Coturnix japonica: one gene and its partner. The main gene of each other region encodes a partner of the protein of the gene in region 2 in a complex. Links are inferred from orthologs where the notes say so. Each region holds a gene or a part of one and is shown on either strand. Other genes may lie near its edges.

The links. The genes of interacting proteins can lie anywhere in the genome.
Region 1: the proteins of GPSM2 (region 2) and INSC are in contact, whole or in part, in a crystal structure (PDB 3RO3), measured with the Mus musculus proteins. The link is inferred for Coturnix japonica from reciprocal best matches to the Homo sapiens genes GPSM2 and INSC. Residues at the interface, in NP_083798.2 of Mus musculus: Asn210, Tyr213, Leu214, Phe218, Arg242, Ser246, Asn247, Asn250, Ile253, Phe254, Tyr265, Gln283, Tyr286, Ser287, Asn290, Thr291, Thr293, Leu294, Arg323, Trp326, Ser327, Asn330; in XP_006507722.1 of Mus musculus: Val72, Asp73, Ser74, Val75, Arg77, Trp78, Met79, Asp81, Leu82, Lys83, Leu84, Met85, Thr86, Glu87.

What each region holds. Positions count from the first base shown.
Region 1 is NC_029520.1:14,709,502-14,718,153, reverse strand, and holds the start of INSC (protein inscuteable homolog), read right to left. Parts: upstream 6,247-8,652; 5' UTR 3,099-6,246; exon of another isoform or gene 1,896-3,098; intron 1,869-1,895; exon of another isoform or gene 1,639-1,868; 5' UTR 1,516-1,638; intron 931-1,515; 5' UTR 860-930; intron 1-859. UniProt on the Homo sapiens protein: May function as an adapter linking the Par3 complex to the GPSM1/GPSM2 complex. Involved in spindle orientation during mitosis. May regulate cell proliferation and differentiation in the developing nervous system.
Region 2 is NC_029523.1:1,217,220-1,227,789, forward strand, and holds the start of GPSM2 (G-protein-signaling modulator 2), read left to right. Parts: upstream 1-4,387; 5' UTR 4,388-4,399; coding exon 4,400-4,632; intron 4,633-4,848; exon of another isoform or gene 4,849-9,072; intron 9,073-10,570. Other genes in the region: protein AKNAD1, read right to left, coding at 348-483, 818-951, 1,417-1,476, 1,587-1,738, 1,838-1,955, 3,019-3,933, 4,108-4,149. UniProt on the Homo sapiens protein: Plays an important role in mitotic spindle pole organization via its interaction with NUMA1. Required for cortical dynein-dynactin complex recruitment during metaphase. Plays a role in metaphase spindle orientation.

The sequences.
Region 1 (8,652 bases), on a different chromosome or scaffold from region 2:
CAAAATTAAGGCTTTGTCATCCAAATAAAATAAGCTGAATGGCTGGGCTGCTCATGTGCAGAAACATCTGCTGGATAGGGAATAACACACAGAAAACTGCCAGCAAGTGTCAAAAGTTCAGAGAAGCAGTAAGTAATCATCCTATTTCAGCCATTTAGACATAGATGAGACAGAAAATCAAGTCAAAAATAGCAAGCCTGTTGGGCAGAAGAAGTCACGAGTAAGTAACTATTTAGAATAAATAGTTTTCCATCACTGCTCTCAGTGAAGCTCCTTAGAAATGATCTTTTAGGAGTTGAATTCACAGAATAAGATGCCAAACCCGGGTACTGCAGATATCTGCGTTCAAGGAGGAGGTCTGTGGCAGTGGCAATCCACAAACACATACATTCCAAGGAAACAACACTAGAAATTTCCCACGACTCTGCCTAGCAATAGTCTCATCAAAAGGAGACATCAAAGGTGGTGTGCACATCTGCTGCAGAAAATGCAAAGACAGCAGTCTTCTACCACATGAAGTTAATGCTAGTGTACTAAACTAAACCCTGCATTTTTAGGACTAACCATCTATCAGTCTTTCTGGAAATTATTACCAGGAAGAAAAATGCTTTAAAGGAAAGAGTCGCTTTCTCTGATGGCCATGTGCTTAGTATCCAGTTGCAAAGCAAATAGCCTTTTAGCTTCTTATGCCAGAGTATCAGATTATTTTATTAAATTTTCATATAGGGTTACAAGGCTTCCTAATAAGTTTTCTTTCCATTTAAAAATATGGGGAAAAAAATGTAAATAATATTTTTAAAAGCACGAAAGGTTAATAAATCTAACTTTTTGGGGCATTTTATGGCAGTGACATCTGTACCTTGTTCTCAGGGAATTTCATGTAGTATGACAGCTCTCAGCAGTAACAACCATCAGAAGGAAGCCAGGCATCTAAAATGGAATTCCAGTCAGGTTGAATTAATCTGGATGTTACTATATACTTGTATTTAATATTAATGCGATGTGAAAAAAAATAACAAAAACCCACAACATCCCTTAAGATACAAAGTCATGTGCAGGGAAGCTGGAACACTCAAGTTTTCCCCTGTCTTGTTATTGCACAATTCAAATGCTACCCCAACTTACCCACTTCTATTGTCTGCCATATTGAATACCCAGTACAAGTGGCACACAAGGAACATTGTTTTATGACTCCTTCTCCCTCACTGTATTGTGTATTTCTCAAAGCCTGTGCTCTCTCCCTCTGTTTTGATCTTTAACCTTATAGCACTCATCACCACCACATCCAGGCCCAGAACAAATATGAAATGAGAGCACAGCTCTCTCCCCACTGCTTCCAAGGTGAGTTTAGTTTTATTGATATGGCTGACCTTACCATCATAACCTTGTCTACCCCAGCTGCTCTGCCTGTGCTGGGCACCCTTCTTTAACTTCCCTACCCTGTACATTAGTACACTACTAATAATTATTAAAAACCTTAACAGCAGTAGAAGTACTGTACCTCCAGATACCTACCATTGTGATGAGGTTGTACAATTTCTCAACTTCCAAAGGCAAGCTGGGAAAATGCTTCAGAGGTCAAAATTACTCATTGGAATGCACTGGTTCTTGGATGTATTTTTTTGTTCCTTTCCTTACCTGTGACATTTATTAGAAGGCATCATCAGGTTTGAGCCAGCAATCCTGAAGGTATGCTTCTCTATAAATATGCAAAGAACTCAATTGCTTTTTAGCAAAGCACTTGAATGTGCTTTTAGTTTGATGTCTGTGGCTCAGTAGCACAAGCTAAACTGATTTTGGAATTATATTGATCATTTCTAGACAAGCAAAGGACAGCTACCAAGTATGGCTGTTCCAGTTCATTTATACAAGGTATTCACTCTGCAGACGCCTACCTGGGGAAGACAAGTCAGTTGTACTGCAGGGCTGTTCCTTGCACTGCTCCTCTCATCGGGGGTGATTGTTCACTGTAATAATTCTCTCTGCATCATTCAGGACCCGATGAATAATTCAGTAGAGTTTCATTACTCCACCTGTCCTGTTTTGTTTACTAGAATATCTTTCTGTCATTCAGCATCTATACCTGGCCTCGAGCATAAAATCTGGAGAAAAAGAAGGAGTCCACAGTGGCTGAAGGGAATCCTTCCCTTTAATATTGGAGTCCTATGAACTGACAATACATTTGGTTTGAGGGGCATCAACTGACTAGAGAAACCCAACATAAACTTATCAATATGTACATCTTCTCTCCTTTACAGGTTTGGGAAGCTCAGGTCTCTTGCTGCATTACTTTGAACTGATAACAAAACATTCTGCTATTTGTAGAGGTTTTCTAAGGAGCAACTATGGTGGCCCTGTCCTCTGACACATTTAGGGTAAGCCCTGTGAACTCTGTCAAGATGCTAACAGAAAAAATCTTGGTCTGTTCTGCACAGCATCTACCAGAACCCCCCTCACGCAGGTATTATACTAGTAGGTTTGTAGACTGCAACACCAAACACAGCAGGATTTTCACTAGCACAGAAATTCTGTGTAGAGATGAAGAAACATTACTGAATATTTTGACTAAACCAGACAGACAAGTCTGAAGCCTTTAGTTCTTCTCCTCACTGAAAATACCGCTATGCCCAGGAATTTACCTTTCACCTTTTTCATTAAATGTCAGTAGTAGCTCTCTGTTTTGATGGCTAATGATAGGAGCTCTTTCAGAACATACCCTCATTACTAAACTGCTCTGGTAAAAGTAAAAATAAAAATTGGGAGCATGTATTAATATCTTCATTTAGACCAATAGCCCTATAAATAATTGTTGGGTTTTTTTAGACTATCTGCAAAACTAACAAAAATCTAGAAAGCTACTTCTGCTTTCTGGCTTGTTCTCTTCAGAAAGACAGCAGAATCAGCATGAACATTAGCAAGCATCCTTTTCAAGAACCGAATGTTGCTGCAAATATCTCACCCGAACCTCTTTTAACTGCTACTCCGGAGACTTTCTGTGTCTCCTACGCCCTCTAGCATCTGGAAGTTGCATTTACAAGCCTCTCCCTTTCTTGAGCATATTTATAGTTAGAATTTCCACACAGTTAATAAAAACTTACTAAAACAGAAAGTGGGAAGCCTTCCCCTCTCTTCTTGCCAGATATATTTTTTACCCGAGGCTGAAGCAAAAACATGAAAATGTTAGTGTGAATTCTCATAGACATTACAGGTGCTTTATGCTTCCCTGGCAGCGTGTGTGGGCCTTAGAGATGCAGAGAATATTCTCATCAATTTGGGGTCATCTGTGAATACTGTTATCAGTTGGGAAATGTCACTTAAATTATAGGAAATGGGTATTCCTATCTGGAGGAAGAAGTGAACTGTGAGACATGTATGATGTGACCTAATTACAATAAGTTAAATAAGATCATCAAATTGTATGCAGCAAAAAGCACCAAGTGCACAAAATGAGAGGCTGGATTTCTGATTAGAGGAGATTAAAACATGGGAGGGGGGAATGTGTGCATAAAAAAAAGGCTGATGTCCATAGATAGAGATCCTGCAGCCTCCAGGAGAAAGGAGTTTTCTTTGCACAGTTTAGAGGGGCTCTACTTCAGATCCCACCTGCTGTATCATTACAGTGGCACACGTAAAACATATTTTTGGCAAACATAGGGAACACTCAGATAATAAAACTTTAAAAGAGGAGGGATACTGGTATGAGAAAGGTCTTGGTACCCTTGTGGCTGCCTAGGCTGCTCTTTCTGTGGGTGGGCCCCTCCAGCTACTTGTGTTTCCAAGAGATAGGGTGCAGCGTGAGGGGCTTTAGTTACCCATGCTACAGGTCTCAGTGCTGTTATTTTAAGGTGCTATTCCATCATCTTTCAGAAGTCAATTCCGTAAGTGGATGGTTTTCATTTTATCTCTTCAACTCCAGCATTGAGATCTGTTTCTGTTTTCCATTTGATTCTCTGCTTGCATTATATTAGGAACATAATTCAATACTTATTTTTATAACTGATTTAACACTTAGTATATTTAACTATAAAATGATATGGAAGAACTTTCCAGCTTTGGAGGAAATGATCTGTGTTAACTAAGAGTACAAACCTTGCTTAGAAACTTACTCAGAAGTGTCTTGGAGGACTTACAAAGTGCTAAAAAGCCACTGGGACTTTTCCATAGATTAAATGCCAGTATTTACAGAGAAAAGTCATTACACCAACACTGTGATGTGCTTGCTTGGGATTCATTTGTAAAAGCAGGCCAGTTCTACCCACTAATAACTATGATGTTCGTTCAATCCAAAAACATGGTTATATCATGAGCTAAAAATGGAATTACAAACTATCTATGTAACTATTTAGGGACATGCTAATTAGAATAATTGGCTCCCTCTATGACAGTGGAGACCTATAACAGCCTTTCAAGCATGTCAGCAGAGTAATGGGCAAATTAATGCTGTCCATATTGTTGATTTGGAGTTCCAGATTGTTTGCAAAGCTATGAAGATGCTAGAGTGTATAAATAGCCATAAGGTGAACATTCTTCTATGGAGCAGAAGTGGCCTGAAAGACAGCGAACAAAAATTAAGCAAATGACTGGGTTTTTAAAAAGAAAAAAAAAAAAACAAACAATAACAAAAAGGCTGCTTGAAATCATGATGTATGAGCTCAGCAAAGCCACACTTAGGGCAGATAATTGTGCAGTGAATAGAGGTCAGTGGGCTCTACTGAGGTGGAGGCAGTCGAGGTCCTTGGAGGGAAGGAGGAGGAGGAGGAGACATCCTGGCTTCTCAAGCACTCAGATTGTAATCCTGGGAGCAGTCACCCAAGACAACCTTGCTGGCAGCTACTCAAGAATGTTGTGCCCATGACTCCACCATAAGTGATCATCACCTCCAGACAGCCACACTCCCCTGTCATTTAGTCTCCTTGGAGAAGACTGAATAGGTGAATGCAATGCCAAATTGCTTCATATGCTAATGTGACAAGATACTATTAGGAAAAGCCATTGAAAAGAAGAATTGTGACACAACAGAAGTAAATAGAAAAGGCAGACTACTACAAGTGTAATCTTCTTTGGTGGGCAGCCAACATCTTTGTAACAAAACACTGTGTGGGATCTAAGAGTATTTTCTCAGATACAGAGGAAAAACGCTTGCCCAAAGGTACACATTCAGATATTTAAAGACAACATTTGCCTTTCTGGAGGTGACACTAATGAGTTAGCTGGGATCACAGTTCGGCCCCAGCCAAAGAGGTAATTGGTGCAAAACAACAATTGTGATAAAAGCCAAGAAAAGAAAGGAGAATTGTTGCAAGCCATTTTATAACTCTAAGGATGGATTGAAAGATCCTGGAAAATGTACTGCAAAGTTTGGCAAAATTTAGAAACTGAAATTAATACTTGCTGGAAAAAAAAAAAAAAAAAAAGTACTAGGATCTGTGGGCGTTTTCTGCAAAAGAGAATTTGAAAAGGAACATCCTAAGTAAAGGTCAGTTCTGTGCAGACTAAAGGAAGGATGTGGTGTCTATTAGAACAGTAAAGAGGAAGAAAATTTATGTGCCATGTAGACCCCACCCAGCAGATGGGAAGGGTTCAATTAATTGTCACAAGTAACGAGCAAAACCAACTTGGACCACAATTGCCAGTGCTCAACATATGTGAAAACAAGCTTGAAATGCTTGAAGTGCTCAGGTGTTCTGAGATAGCTCTGACACTGTTCAATACAGACAAATGCAAGGCCCAAATTCTCTAGCATAGCTAAACTACCCACCTTGGAAGGATGTTCAATCTGCTAATTATACATGGTAGTGCTGGTTTAGACAGTAGATACCAAAATTTACTACTGCTTACTAACAGTTGCTTTTGGCAGTGCTTGGTGTTGGAAGCAATAGCATTAGCTGTTCTCCCTTCTCACACTGCAGATGATGAAAGCTTTCAGGAAGATGAATTCCACTAAGAGGAGGAAAAATAGATCTAAATATATGGAAAGAGCCACAGTAAATTCACTTGGGTTCTTTCAAAATGATGCTCTATTAGTGCGCGCAGCTATGTCCTGGTGCATGATCATGAACCAAAATCTCAGCTGGATCTAGGAACAGGAAGACATCTGCCACTTGGCAAAGAGCACATGGCTGAACAGCTATAGCTCCTGCAGCCATTTTGGCAGCTGAAAAGGTCCATCAGGAGATATATTGATGTTGGAGCTTCTGTCATCATTTGGACCTCACATACCTCTCATCCAGACCCTGTAGCAGCTCACCCACACCTCCCCGACACCCTGTGTGGAGCCACAGCCCTGCACAGTGGCCCTGGGGACCCATGATACCCTGGGAGCCTACAACACCCTACTGCTGTCCCCTTTCCCACAGGGCTCTGGGAGGTGAGCAAGCAGGCTGCTTCATGGCACCAGCCCAAGGCCACCCCTGCTCACCTGGCCTGTGTCCCACTGGGAGCTGCACTCACCACAAAGACAAAAGCAGAAGCATGTGTGTATTTCAGAGGAGAGGGCTCCTGCAGCTCCTCACTGTGCTTGTTCACTGGCCACAAGATGGTGCCTTTCTACCTCCCATCAGCTCAGGGAGAAGACCAGGTGGAAATCAGGACCTGCCTTAGGCTCACATCATGCTTGTCTGTATTTGTACTCTTAAAACAAACAAACAAACAAAAAACCCTATCAATTCTGCAAAATAAACTCCCCCCAGAATCTACAGTGATGGGAAGACAGTCTTCAAGAAATTACCCTCAGACAGTTATTTCTCAGAAATTTCTTCCTTCTTTACCTTTCCTTGCAAAGTCCCCATCACAAAGACTTTACTTGCACACAGATTAAATTGGGTTCAGGGACTAGGAGGGTGCATATTGTTGCTGTTTGGTTCTGTGGGTCTTTTCTTTGTTTGGGGTATCTTTGAGAGTTGACAGTTGTAGGTAATGTTATCAAGAACAGCATTAAAAAAAAAATAAATTGAAGCAATTTCTTCTGGATTTTCAGAAAGTCAATCAAAGCAATCGACAAACTCCTGATGGCTCTGCAATTTATAGGGTTGGAAACTACATGTGAAGGAGCCTCAGATGTGTCTCAGCTGTAAACTGAAACAATAAACTGCTTGAGCATCAATGTTTTAAGGCCAGAAGGAGACAAGGAACTGTGCCTGGCTTCTTACTGAATATGTATCATTGGCTTACATGTATTCATCCTGGCATCTTATTTCGGAGCAGATTAAGCTGGGTGCCATAGTAAAGAACAAAAACCAGCTACCACCTGTGTTCCAAGGCTCTACAATGACATGGAAAGCACTGTTGTGACGATCAGGTGACCACAGCACATTATCCATGCTTTGTGCAAAGAAAAAATGACAAAAATATGCGAAATCCAGAGAAAAAATGCTTCCTGACTGCAAAATTGGGTCTTCCACACATGACCCAAGTGGGGTCTTGCAGAACAGGGCTTCATCTTGCAGTTCCAGTAAATACAGATGTGGTAAATCTAAGCTACTTCAGAAGTACACAGACAAAAAGTACCGAACTGTCTCAGCATAACATTTCTAAGCTAAGGAGAAGCCATCCCATCTGCATCCTTTCCTTACCCACTTAAACACTAGAACTTTTCCCTCTAAACTGGCTTATATCTTCTAGAAGTTATACCTACAAGGTCTGCTTTGTATACTGACTTACCATAGCTGGAATGTCCTTCAAGTAGTAAAACCATGGCCATGAATGAGCTACAGAAGCATCACCACTGGGCAGCCTTACTGACTATATCTACATCTGGTTGACCTCGCTTCTCTTTTTTCTATTACACCTGCAGCAAAGAGAGACAGAGATACGGTGAGGGGCTTAATCTCTACTTTACAGTGAGATGATCTTCATCTGAACTGATGAAGCAGAGCTTGGAGTCCAACTGTAGAGCAAAAAACAAATCTAAACAAATATCTGACTCAGCTACTAAACTGAAAAAGCAGCAGCTGCATGGAATGAGCTGGCAGCATCACTTAAAGAGCCATGGATTGCTTCCAGCTACCCTCTTCTCCACTTACTCTAATTATTTGTCCCTGGTCCCGAAGTAGATTCAGCTTCAGGATTGCTTAAAAGAAATGTAAATTTCCGGAGTACCTTTTAAAATTCCCTTTCCAATTTACTTTTTTAACCTTACACCTACAAGATACCTTAGGCTGTTTTGGACCAACTGCAGTCCATAGAAAAACATTTTGTCTATTTTGACTTCCACATGATAAATGTTGCCACTACAGTTTTATTAGACAGAATTTAACACAAGTGTTAGTAAGCAGCACCCTCCCCAGTTACCAGTTTCTAAATGCATTCTCTAAGGCTGCTCTTCATCCAGTTCAGACCACTTGACTCAAAGGCTACACCTACAGCAAATAGGACTGTAGGAGCCCACCAGGCCATCTGATTTGCAGTGATTTTGGGCTACTGCCAAACATTTCTGTAAATGTGTTCAAACAGAAAAAGAAAAAGAAAAAAAAAATCAGTTTCTCAATGCAAGTGTATCTAAAAATACTTATTTTTAATTTTGCGTAAATTCACAAATGATACAATATTTAAGAGGTTGTTTTCTGCTTTAAACATACTGTACAATCAGGTTAGTTAAGTGTTTTAACACCAAGGCACAGCACACCATGTTATACACACACACCTTGCTAGGCA
Region 2 (10,570 bases):
AGGGACAAAGTCATCTTTCTTCCAGCTGAATTGCAGTTGTGGATTTGCAGAACCAGGCAGCTCTGTATATCTTAAAATAGTTTGCTCTTTCCCCCCCCCCCCCACTTTGAAATGAATGTTTTTGAAGCTAACACTTAAATTATTCAGTGCAGCTGCATTTATACTAAGTTTTTGTTGCAACTAATGAGAAATTAAGCTACAACTTCATGCAAGAAGTTTTTCCAAAGTAACATGCTATCCAAAAGCATCATGCTTTTACAAATGTTAGAGGAGAACATGCATTAACCACACTGATTTTCTGCAGTAGAATGGAGTAATGCAGTCTTTAAATGATTAAACTCAGTTACCTCCCAAAGACGATAGGATGAATGGGCAGATCCACAGGAAGTAAGCGAAGGAGCCCATCTGTGCTTGCTGCCGTCAGCTTGTTCTTGGATGTCTTCAAGCAGCGTGCCAAGTCTAAATATTTCCCCTTCTACTTTTCTAAAATCAATCACAATACACAGCTAATTAAACTTCTGTTTCTTACTATGGCAACCATATTTGGCATTGCAATGAACAGTTAATAGAGGGAAGAAGGAAATGGAGTTCACTGAGTCTCTTTTAAATGCTTGAATTAATCAAATAGATATCCTTGTTATAACAAGGATATGTAAAGCATGAGATGGATTTCGGCCAAGTACCTTCTAGCTTACCCTGTGTAATGTTAAGATAATGATTTCACCTCTGAAAAGCACAAATGGCTGAAGTAATAGTGGTTAGATGCTTTAAAACATGGAAAATATGCTGATGAAGTACTTTGTGCTTATCTTCAAACCTTTCAGGATCAAATTCTCCAATGCCGGTAGACTTGTCCTTGTAGCACTGCAGCTGTAAGTTACGATGCTCCTCTCTAGCAGTTAAATAATTCCTTTCCAAGGCATCAAGGTGTGTTTTCAATTGATTTAGAACCTTCAACAATAAGTTCAACAGTAAATGATGTTACTGTTAGTAAGACATACTAATATCTACTTTTGCTATGTGAGACAGATGTATCGGCAGTGATATTAGTAAGAATTTTGCTGCAGCTCTCAATTTTATCTATAGCTATCCAGCATGCTGTGATGCTTGGTTATTTAGAAGTAAAATACTCAATCACGCTTCAGATGTACCACCCTACTATCATAGATAGTGATTTCTATGCCAACTTAAGGCCTTTCACTAAGTACTTCCCAACTGTAATCTTTAAATTTAAGAAATGAGCCTCTTACTGAGCTCCTCCATTTTTGCTTCTTAAACTCAGTTTAAATCTGAGACTCAGATCAAGATTATTTTTAAAGGTCTGTCTGAGAAAAGCACTGAGTACCCTGCCAGGAAAACTGAAGTCTGTTAGCCAGCTGAAGTACACTTCTGATAACTGAACAGGTGGTAATTTACCAGATAATCTTCTTGTAAGAGAGATGTCTCTCTGGTCATGTGTTTAGAGAAGTCTTCCACCTGTAAGAGAAAACACCAGACTTATATATTGTTTGTTAAAAACAAACGCGCCATACTACTGTAAAACTTAAGAATCAATGTGAAATAGATACTGAAACAGAGCTCTTTACTTTCGTTTTTAGTTGATCTGTCTGATCCTTTAGTATTTGAGACATCTTCTCTCCTTGTGTTGTTTCGGGCAGTAAATTAGAAGCATTTAAACAGCGTATTTCTACTGTGCGAGTTGCTGGAAGTGCTGATGTTGTTGTCCCACACGGCAGTCCTACAAAATGCAAGAGAAAATGTGTTAGTTAGACTGCTTGCCAAAACCTTCCACCCAAAAGTGCTATTGGTTTACTTGAAATTAGTTTTTCACGCTTACTTGGTTCAGACAAACCATGTGCAGGCTGTAGAAGGACACAGGTGTTTGCTGTAGAGTCCTCAGGGGCTCCTGAGTAAATGGCAAATCCTGCATTTGGAAAACCCGACTGAGGAAGTATCTGTCAAAGTGAGAATCTTGGTTAGAGAAAAATCACACAGAATGCTCTGGACAATACCAAGTTTAGAAATGTGTAGGACAGCTTTCTGAAGTTAATGGGAAGTTTGTTATAACCGCACCATACAATTTGCTTTGATTTTGGTTTGCGTAGTATCTCATTGTGCATGTACTGAAATATGCAACTCAGGGTTCTGAAAATCTGAATTTAAAAACTTGTGTAAATGGGAAGTATATTATAAAGGTGAGAAAATAGTTCAGAGCCTTGGAAATAAGAAAATGAAATGAGAGTCTTCTTGGGAGGACTTCTGTATCTGATGACTGTATCTCAGGAGATCAGTAGGATTCTTGATGGCAGCGTGCTGCATTCACATCTAAATATACCATCAAGAAGTAATAGGGAAAAGTATTAGAAGTTGTTCCATCCTGAACAGGTTATGAAGGGATAAGCCCAGGAAAGGACTTAAGCATCTGTATAGCTCTGTGAGTGAACTCAGTGGCAGGGCATGGCATTAAGAAGTGCTTATCTAATTACCACAAATCTTAACAGGAAGTTACTACTGTAAGAGAAATCTTAAAATTTGATGTAAGACAAATCTCCTTATGGAGCAAAACCTTCAGAAATAAAGTGACCTGTCAGGGGATGCTGGGCTGAACAGCTGGAGAGTGTTTGTATTCTTCAATGTAAGAACAGGCAGGGGATTAAAAATGTTTCAAGAATAAATTCCCATTTACACTACTTCCAGTGAATGACAACGTTTCTGTATAACAGTGGAAATAACTGCTTAGAGTGAACTTCCTAATGATTTGCCAGGATGATTTGCCATCAGAAACAGCACAGCAGAGCACTGTTAATTGGTAATGAAAGCTCCATGGGGATTCTGCCTCACAGAAGTTTGTCCACGTGCCTATTGATAGTGGTACGCTTGCCCTGCTGATGGCTGTTGAGTGCCTGCATGAACCAGGCACAGTGAGAGGTGACCTAACACAGAATACCTTTTTATTATAAGCACTGCTCTTTACTTTTGTGTTAAGACTTCGCTAAATTCTTAAAGCATCTTAATTACCTTTCGCTGCTGGGATGGTTCTGGAATGCTCATTTCTTCCTGATTTTCTAGGACGTTGTTGCCAGTTACTGATTGATTTAGCAGTCTGGGGAAGGGTTTTGTTCTTTTAATGGTGGGAACTGATTTCTTATTCTCACTCATTTCTGGTACTTTCATTTCTGAAGTGACTTCATTATGGCCTTCCTGACGACTCTGAACTTCACCTTGGTCTTCTATGAGCTCATGAGAAGAAACTGATTTCTTAAGCATGCGTCTCTGTTCTGTGTTTTGAAAGATATTCACTGCTTTGAGCCTTTGTAAGTGGTGTTCTTCAAACTTGGCTGCCTCTTGTTCACCCGTTGAAGGGCCTTTGACACGTTCAGAAGTCTCATGTTTGTTTGTGGCTTCGTCAATACTTTCAGTCAGGGATGTTTCTGGTATAGTCTCACGTTCAATAAACTGCCATGTGCTCATCAACTCTCCCATAGGAAAATGACGCAGAAGGACATGGGACATGTTTGAGTGACTCGGAGGGTCTGTGCCATCTGGTTGGCTACCACCAGCTGGTAATGCCTGTGTGAAGGACACTTCACTTCCAGCTATTCCAGCTTTACTTCTGACTGTCCTGATGGTACCTGTGTTACAGTCAAAGGCACCTTCATCTTGTACATGAATGTCATCATTTGCTGATGCGTTTCTGTTATCTCCAGAGCAGGGTAAGTTTAAAGAATCAGAAATACACACGATACAAGTGCAGCCATTCAATTGATCTGACTTGCTGTGATATTTGCAGGCTATTCCCCCATCTCCATCACAAGGTAAATCATCTTGTTCTGCGTCCGTTGTGTCTGTGATGTAGCTTAATTCATTTGAAACTGAACAGCTCATTGGGGCTTCCACCCATGGGCTGGGTGCACTGAGATGGTGTCTGTGCTGCTATGGAGACCAAGAGGGACAGGTGCCAAAAGTGCTGTGAAAGGAGAATGGAGTGCAGTGCAGGTAAGCGTGGGTTATTCTTTCATAGTCCTCCTGCTGATAGGAGACCAGGGTGCTAATGGAAGGTAACGAAACTTGCGCTATAGCAGCTCTGCGAGAAGAAAACGCACTCACCGCCCCGGCCCGCTGCTCCCCGTTATTCGGCTTATTCCTCATCCCCCAGCAGCTCACGCTCGGTGCATTCTGGCAGCAGAGCGCTGCGCTGTGCCGGGAGCTGCGGCAGAGCTGGATCCCTTCGTACCAGCGGGCAGCGGCAGCAGACAGATAGAACCTCACAGCTCCCTGCTCCCGAGCTGCGTCTGCTGCTCCCACCCGCGCCGTGCGGTGCCACCTGCCGCTCCGGCTGCGGGGCTCAGCCTGTGCCCGCCCCGTCCTGCCGTGCCGTGACTCCCATTGGCCGCTGTGAATGATGCCGCCTTCCGCCGCCGCCGGCCGCAGCGCCTGCGTGCAAGGCCCGGAGCCGTTGTCCGCCCCGCCTCGGGGCCGCGCGGGGATTGGCGGGTTCGAAGCGCGGCTGCGCCTGGGCGGCACCGCCAGGAACTGCTCGGCGGTCGCTCTGGAAACTGCCGGCGGCACCGGGCCCGGAACGGCGGCACCAGGTGAGGAGCTCCGGGACCAGGTGAGGAGCTCCGGGACCAGGTGAGGTGCCCAACAGCCGGCGGAGCTGGGAGCCGCGTCCCGGAGCACAAACGGCGCGGTCTCCGTCACGCCGCGCTTGCAGGTGTCTGCGCTGAGCACGCTGAGATGCGGAGCGCGGCGTGCAGCCGGTGTGCGCTGCGCTGCTCCGGATCTGGGCTGCAGGTCGCGGTGTGCCGCAGTCCCGGTGCCGCGATGCTGCTCCCTGCCGGCCGGGCGCTGCGGTTCCTGCCGGCTTGGCGCGGGGCTGACGGGCCGGGCAGGGCCGGGCTGCGCCTCCCGTGTAAATGCCGGCTTTGTTGGAGCTGGAAACACGAGCAGAGTTGTCATCCTTGTAACGCGGTCTTTGTGAAGCCTTTGTACATACGTTGCCGTGATTTCGAAGCGCTCTGTTGGCTCGTGGCAGCGTTCTGCTGCGCTGCTTCCATCCGTGGTTCCATAGACACAGGCGGTTCTACAGCCCTCAGGACAAATGGACTTTATGCCTTCAGTTACTTCCCTGCAAAGCTTACACGAAACCTGTCTGAAACTTGAGCCATCACCATTGGGCCAGAAGACGCTTGTGCCGGCCTTGCCGTAATGCTCTTGTTTGAGAGCTGCTTGCTGTTGGCTGTTGCTATTGTCCTGTTTTCTCTTGCTGGAGAAATACAGCACAACTTCATGCTTGGAAGGTCAAAGTATTGTTTTACAGATGCTGATGGAGATCTCAGCACTTTCTTTACATCCCGTCTCTGTCACTTGGCTTACACTGCTGTTTCCTTCTGTCCTTTTCTTTCTTTCTTTCTTTCGCTTTCTGAATTATTTAAAGGCCGTGGCACATCGGATCGTGCACAACAGCAGCACTGCACTAACACAGCAGGTGTTTCTTCTGGGGCATTGTAAAGGAGATCAATGCGATTTGAAACTGAGCTCTGTCTCTTTGTCAGGGTGGAAATCTCTCCCTAGTTTGCTAGGGCTAGTTTTGCTGTCTGTTTTCCTCACTTCTTGCCACCAAATGGCAGCAGAACTGATCTTAGAGCCTGGTCAGAGATGAACCTGGTACGGCTGTTACCAGTCCATGGAAGGAGAGAGCAGAAAGGCATCAGATGAAGGAAGGAACTGTTTGCTTTCATGTAGGCACTCAGTGGGAAGTCAGCCATGCAAATGATTGCATCAAAAATAGAAGGCTGTGTTGTTAGAGATCACAGCGTCAGGAGTGTGAAGTGTCGGAAGAGCAGAAGTAGGAAACCTGGTGAGAGCTGGTCTGAGATGGTGTGACGTTGAGCAGATGGTTAATGGCAAGTTGCCTCTTAGTGCTTCACAAGTGTTCCTGTTCAGATAAGGGAACTTGTGTAAACCCTTATTAATAAGAAGGGGAAGCTTTTGTGCCGCTGAGTTATGGAGGAAAAACATGATGTGATGTACAACGGGGCCTCTCCAAATCTTTTAATTTCTTAGCTCATTTTCTACCATTGTCCTGCTGTTACGCTGCTCACAATTCTGTTCCAGCCTGGCTGTGGCTGGGCAGTGTGCAGGATTGATGCATTGATGTGTTACAGTGGTTGGGTACAGCTGTGGCAGAAGAGTCAGGTCTTAGTAACACATCTCAGGTTTTGCTGTTCTTCAAGGCGCAGAGAAGATGCTACTCCAGCATTTTGCATCAAAAATCTCATTGCATGTAGAATTAGTTCCTTGTTGCCTGACTAGTTTTATTATAAGGATATTAGTTACGTTATACTGCTGGCACTTTGTCTTCCTTTCGCATGTTGCCATGGTGGGGGCTTGCCTTACTGCAGGGTTTAGATGGCTGCTGTACATGACCTACTTGTGGTGTCCTTAGAGTTACAGTGTCCTTGTATGTCCTTGTATGTCCTTGTGTTGGCTCCTTGCACGCTGGTCAGGTATTTAGGTGTTTCCAGAGAAATATTCTTTCATGATGGGATATTCTGTTCTGAGAGATGTTCTGTGAGAGGTGCTGAGAGCAGTGCCACCTCTGCATTGCTGGGCTTTGCTGTTTCTTATGCCAAGGTATCAGTGCAGTATGTGCAGTACACATGCATTGGCTGCTGCTCTGTGTTCCCATATCTGCTGTTATATGTGCTATATGTGCTACATGTGCTGATGGTTCTGTTTGTTTTTGCCAGCAGCGTGTTCTCAGCCTGTAAGTTACTGTCCAGCCTGCATCATTACAAGATGCCTGAACCATTTCGCTTTACAAACCTGTATTACTGCAGTGCCTAATAGGGCACTTCCTTACTTACTGTGGTTAATAGTTGGTGTGGAACCATGATGGTACTCTGACCAACACACCAGCAATGACTAGATGGTGGTTTCTCTCCCTCATGTATTGCATTGTTGTTCAAAGTGCCTGGCATTTCTTTCTGCTCTTAATGAGTGACCTGTTAAAAGGAATGCATATGTATTTCAGTCTGATTGTTGTGTTAGGCCAAAAAGGGCTGTAAGTGTAGGGAGAGTAAAGAGGGTTTGTCGTACATGAGAGGGCCTGGAAGAGCTAATCTTCCTCTACCTTGGCTTGGAACGCACCATGTGGCGAGGTCAGTTGTGTTTAGGTAACCAAAGAATGTGTAAAAATGAGATCAAGCCTGTTTAGAAATAGGGCAGTAAATTAAGCGTCTCCACTGTGACCATGTTTGTCATAATGCAGCAGTGTGCTGGCAGTTAGATAATCCACGTTGGACTCTGCTCTGGAGCTGTGTCCATGCTTTCATTTTCAGCTGGGGTCGCAGTGTGATCCTCGCTTTGCTGTGAACAAGCTTTGTCTCAGACGTGCTTGATGCCTCTTGGTTTTTGGTTGGTTTTTAGTGTCTTGAGAGTTAGGAGGACCTTCTTGCTAGGATCTTTTTTAAGCTTATTAAAAAATAAAATTGTGCACTAGTATAATTAATTATTCTTTAGTCTCGTAAAGCAATTGTAGATTTTTATGCAGAATTTGTTATTAATTTTTCCTTCTGTTATTTAATGTTTTCAGTAAAGCAGATTTCCAGTCCTGATTCAGGCTGTCCTGGGCGTCCTGCCTCTCAGTTATCTCTGGGGCTTCCTCCCTCAGCCATGCTGAGTTAAGGACGTGCACAAAAACCCTTTTTATCCTTTTCAGTAAATGTAGCACTAGGAACAGGCTGGGGGCAGGAGTGAAGAGTTGGGTCAGTTGGATCATTCAACACGAAGGTACTTGTGAGTGTCACAGCTCCTGCTGTTTTTTGTTTACTGTTTGACAAACTGCTTTTGTTACCTGTGTGGAAGTACTGCTGGTGATGCTGAAGCAATTAAGTCTTGGGCATTAATTGGCTAACGAGAGAGATGAAATAATTTTATAGATCGAGGAGTCAAGGTTCCAAGTTTCCCTGTTGTAATCCTGTTCTTTTGGCTCATACAAGGTGGTTACCCGTGGGTCAGTCAGTTCTAGCAATGAAACACTTCGCTAGCATTCTTTTGATTCTTCTGACGAGGAGCAGATGATTTCCTATGCAAAAAATAGCTTTGGGAACAGGAGAGGAAGCTTTGTGTGCTGCTTTCTGTTGGCATGCTGTAAGTGAGATCCTGGTGTTGTGCAGAGTGCGTTGGTAGGGTTCCTGTTTTGTTGAATGGGTGTCACGTGTGGCCCAAAGCTGATATAGTGCCCCGTTTCCACCTGCTTTGGGACTTTCTGCAGTAATCAGTGATGTGGCTTAGTTTCATGTGGTCTGATATTTGTCAGTCAACATGGCAGATAGATCTGGGGTGGAGGAGGAAGCATCTTGATCAAGCACATTAGATGCTGGTATTAATGTATTTACTTACTGCTTGTCTGGTAGTCTGATAGCATAGGCTGGGTCTTCCCCATGCACTATGTAATGACAAGCTGTGCAGAGTCTGCTCTACCAGGCATGCTCCTAGTTACAAAGCCCCATGGTCCCGCTCTGCCCTCTGGGTGCAGCCCACCTGTGTCTGACGGGCTGTGCTCAGTGATACACTGGAACGCTGCTTGTGTCGGGTCCTTGGTCCTTCATCTGGAGCCTTGTGGTTCATTCCGAGGGTATCTGCTCTGTGTGTAAAGCCATCTGGAGGAAAGGTGATATCTCAGAGCTGGAATTGCTCCATATTTGCTGTTGACCGTGAATAAAACCTCAGAGTCACTTTGTCAGTACGGGGGGTTCTGTGTGGTGCCAGCTGATCAGCTGTTGAACTTGTGTTGTGCCAAAGTCTGGAGAAAACAGCTGCTTCCCAGCATGTCACACTGCTGTGTTAAGGACTGTTCAGAGGGGAATGGTTATTACTACACAAATGCTATTGGCTGTGCTTCCTCGTTAATAGGTGAATTTAAGAAATATCCCTGGACACCATTAAAGACTAAAATTGTGGTTTGTCTGGTTCCAGTTGTGGTTCAGTACCTCTGGACTCACTGCTGGCATTTATATTTGGATTTACACTTTCGAGGTCTGGAGTCAAACTAACCTCTGTATTTCAGTAAGAGAAACATTGCTGTATTTTTTTGTTCCTTGCTCTGTCTTTGTCTTCACATGGTACACAAAGCTCTGCTTTGTTTTCAGGTTATCCACTGCAAGATTCTTTTCCTGTTCTTTCACTTACGCTGTAGCTGCTCCCTGAAAGGAAATTCAGACTTAGTTCAGCATTGGAAAATTCTCCGTGATCTTGAAACAGCCACTCTCTATAGCTGATTTTTGTGAGGAAATAGAATGCATGTGGTTGGTCTGCCTCGATTTGTACTTTCACCATGTCAATTCTGAATCTCCCAGCCTTTGATGACATCATTTGGCAGATGCTTCTGTAGCTCTGTGAAAAATAACAGATGGGCAGAGGAGGCCTTGGTTTGTTGCCTCCTTTAGGCAAGGCAGGACAAGCTGGGCTGGGTGCGTTCCGGTAGCCAGCCCACAGTGACTGGTCGGAATGTGGCTGCCAGGCAGCCCTGTGGCTGCTGATGAGCACAGTAATGAGTGTAGATCATCAGTCATCGGACAGCAAAAAAGGAAATATGGTCATGGGAGATGATGAGAGGAGGGAAGGAGCCAAAGATGCTGCTGGGATCTTCTGATTTAAGGAGGTAGTGTCTGCAAGAGTGTTCATGGTTGTCTACCTCCTTAATTTGTAATTAATCACTGATTAATGTGCCTCTAGTTGGATGTGGGCCAGCTCGATGTGTCCACGTCAGCCACCTAAGGCAGCCATGTGCCATGCAGTCGGCAGGAGGGAGGCACAGGGCTTCCAGCAGCAGGGAGGTGGCACCCACTGGAGATGGCATAGAGGATGGACATGGAGCCCAGTTAAATGAAATAGTTGAAATGTGATGCAAAGCATATTAGTAACTTCTGGTTCCCTTGTAGTGCTGAGCACCAGGACTGCTCTGAGGCGATGAGTGCAGGCAGGGCAACTTGCAGCTGGCTGCTTGCGGGAGTTGCCTGACTTGAGTTTGTGCAAACCTGTGCAGAGCAAAGACCTGTCACGTCATCTTCCCAGTGTGTGGGTTACAGTGGTATTTAAAAATGTATGTATCATGCTTTGTAATTGCTAAAGTATACCCACACCCACTTGTTGATGCCAAGTAACTCCGGTGCTGAGCATGGAAGGGCAAAGTAGTTGTTTGACTGGAAGAACACTGTGAATGGTCTGTTTGAAAGACGCTGTCAGAGAGGAGGGTGGTGAGAAGCATGAATATTTGTACTGGTGACTGATGAAACAGATGAGGAGACATTGCCTTCCTTGACAATTAACAATATAGAGATGGGTGAGTTCTGGTGACAACTTTAAGTCTGAGTTCTGTTCTTGTTTTGTGACATCTCTGCAAGCTCTTGATGAAATATGCATTTGTGAATTACACAAGTGTATGTTTACTTGCAAAGGAAGGTAATATTAGTGCTAAGCAATAAATACGTCAACTCCTCTACTAAAAATATATTTAAAAGTGGGTAAGCTTCTGAATAGTTTCTTTTTGGCAAATTGTTTTCCC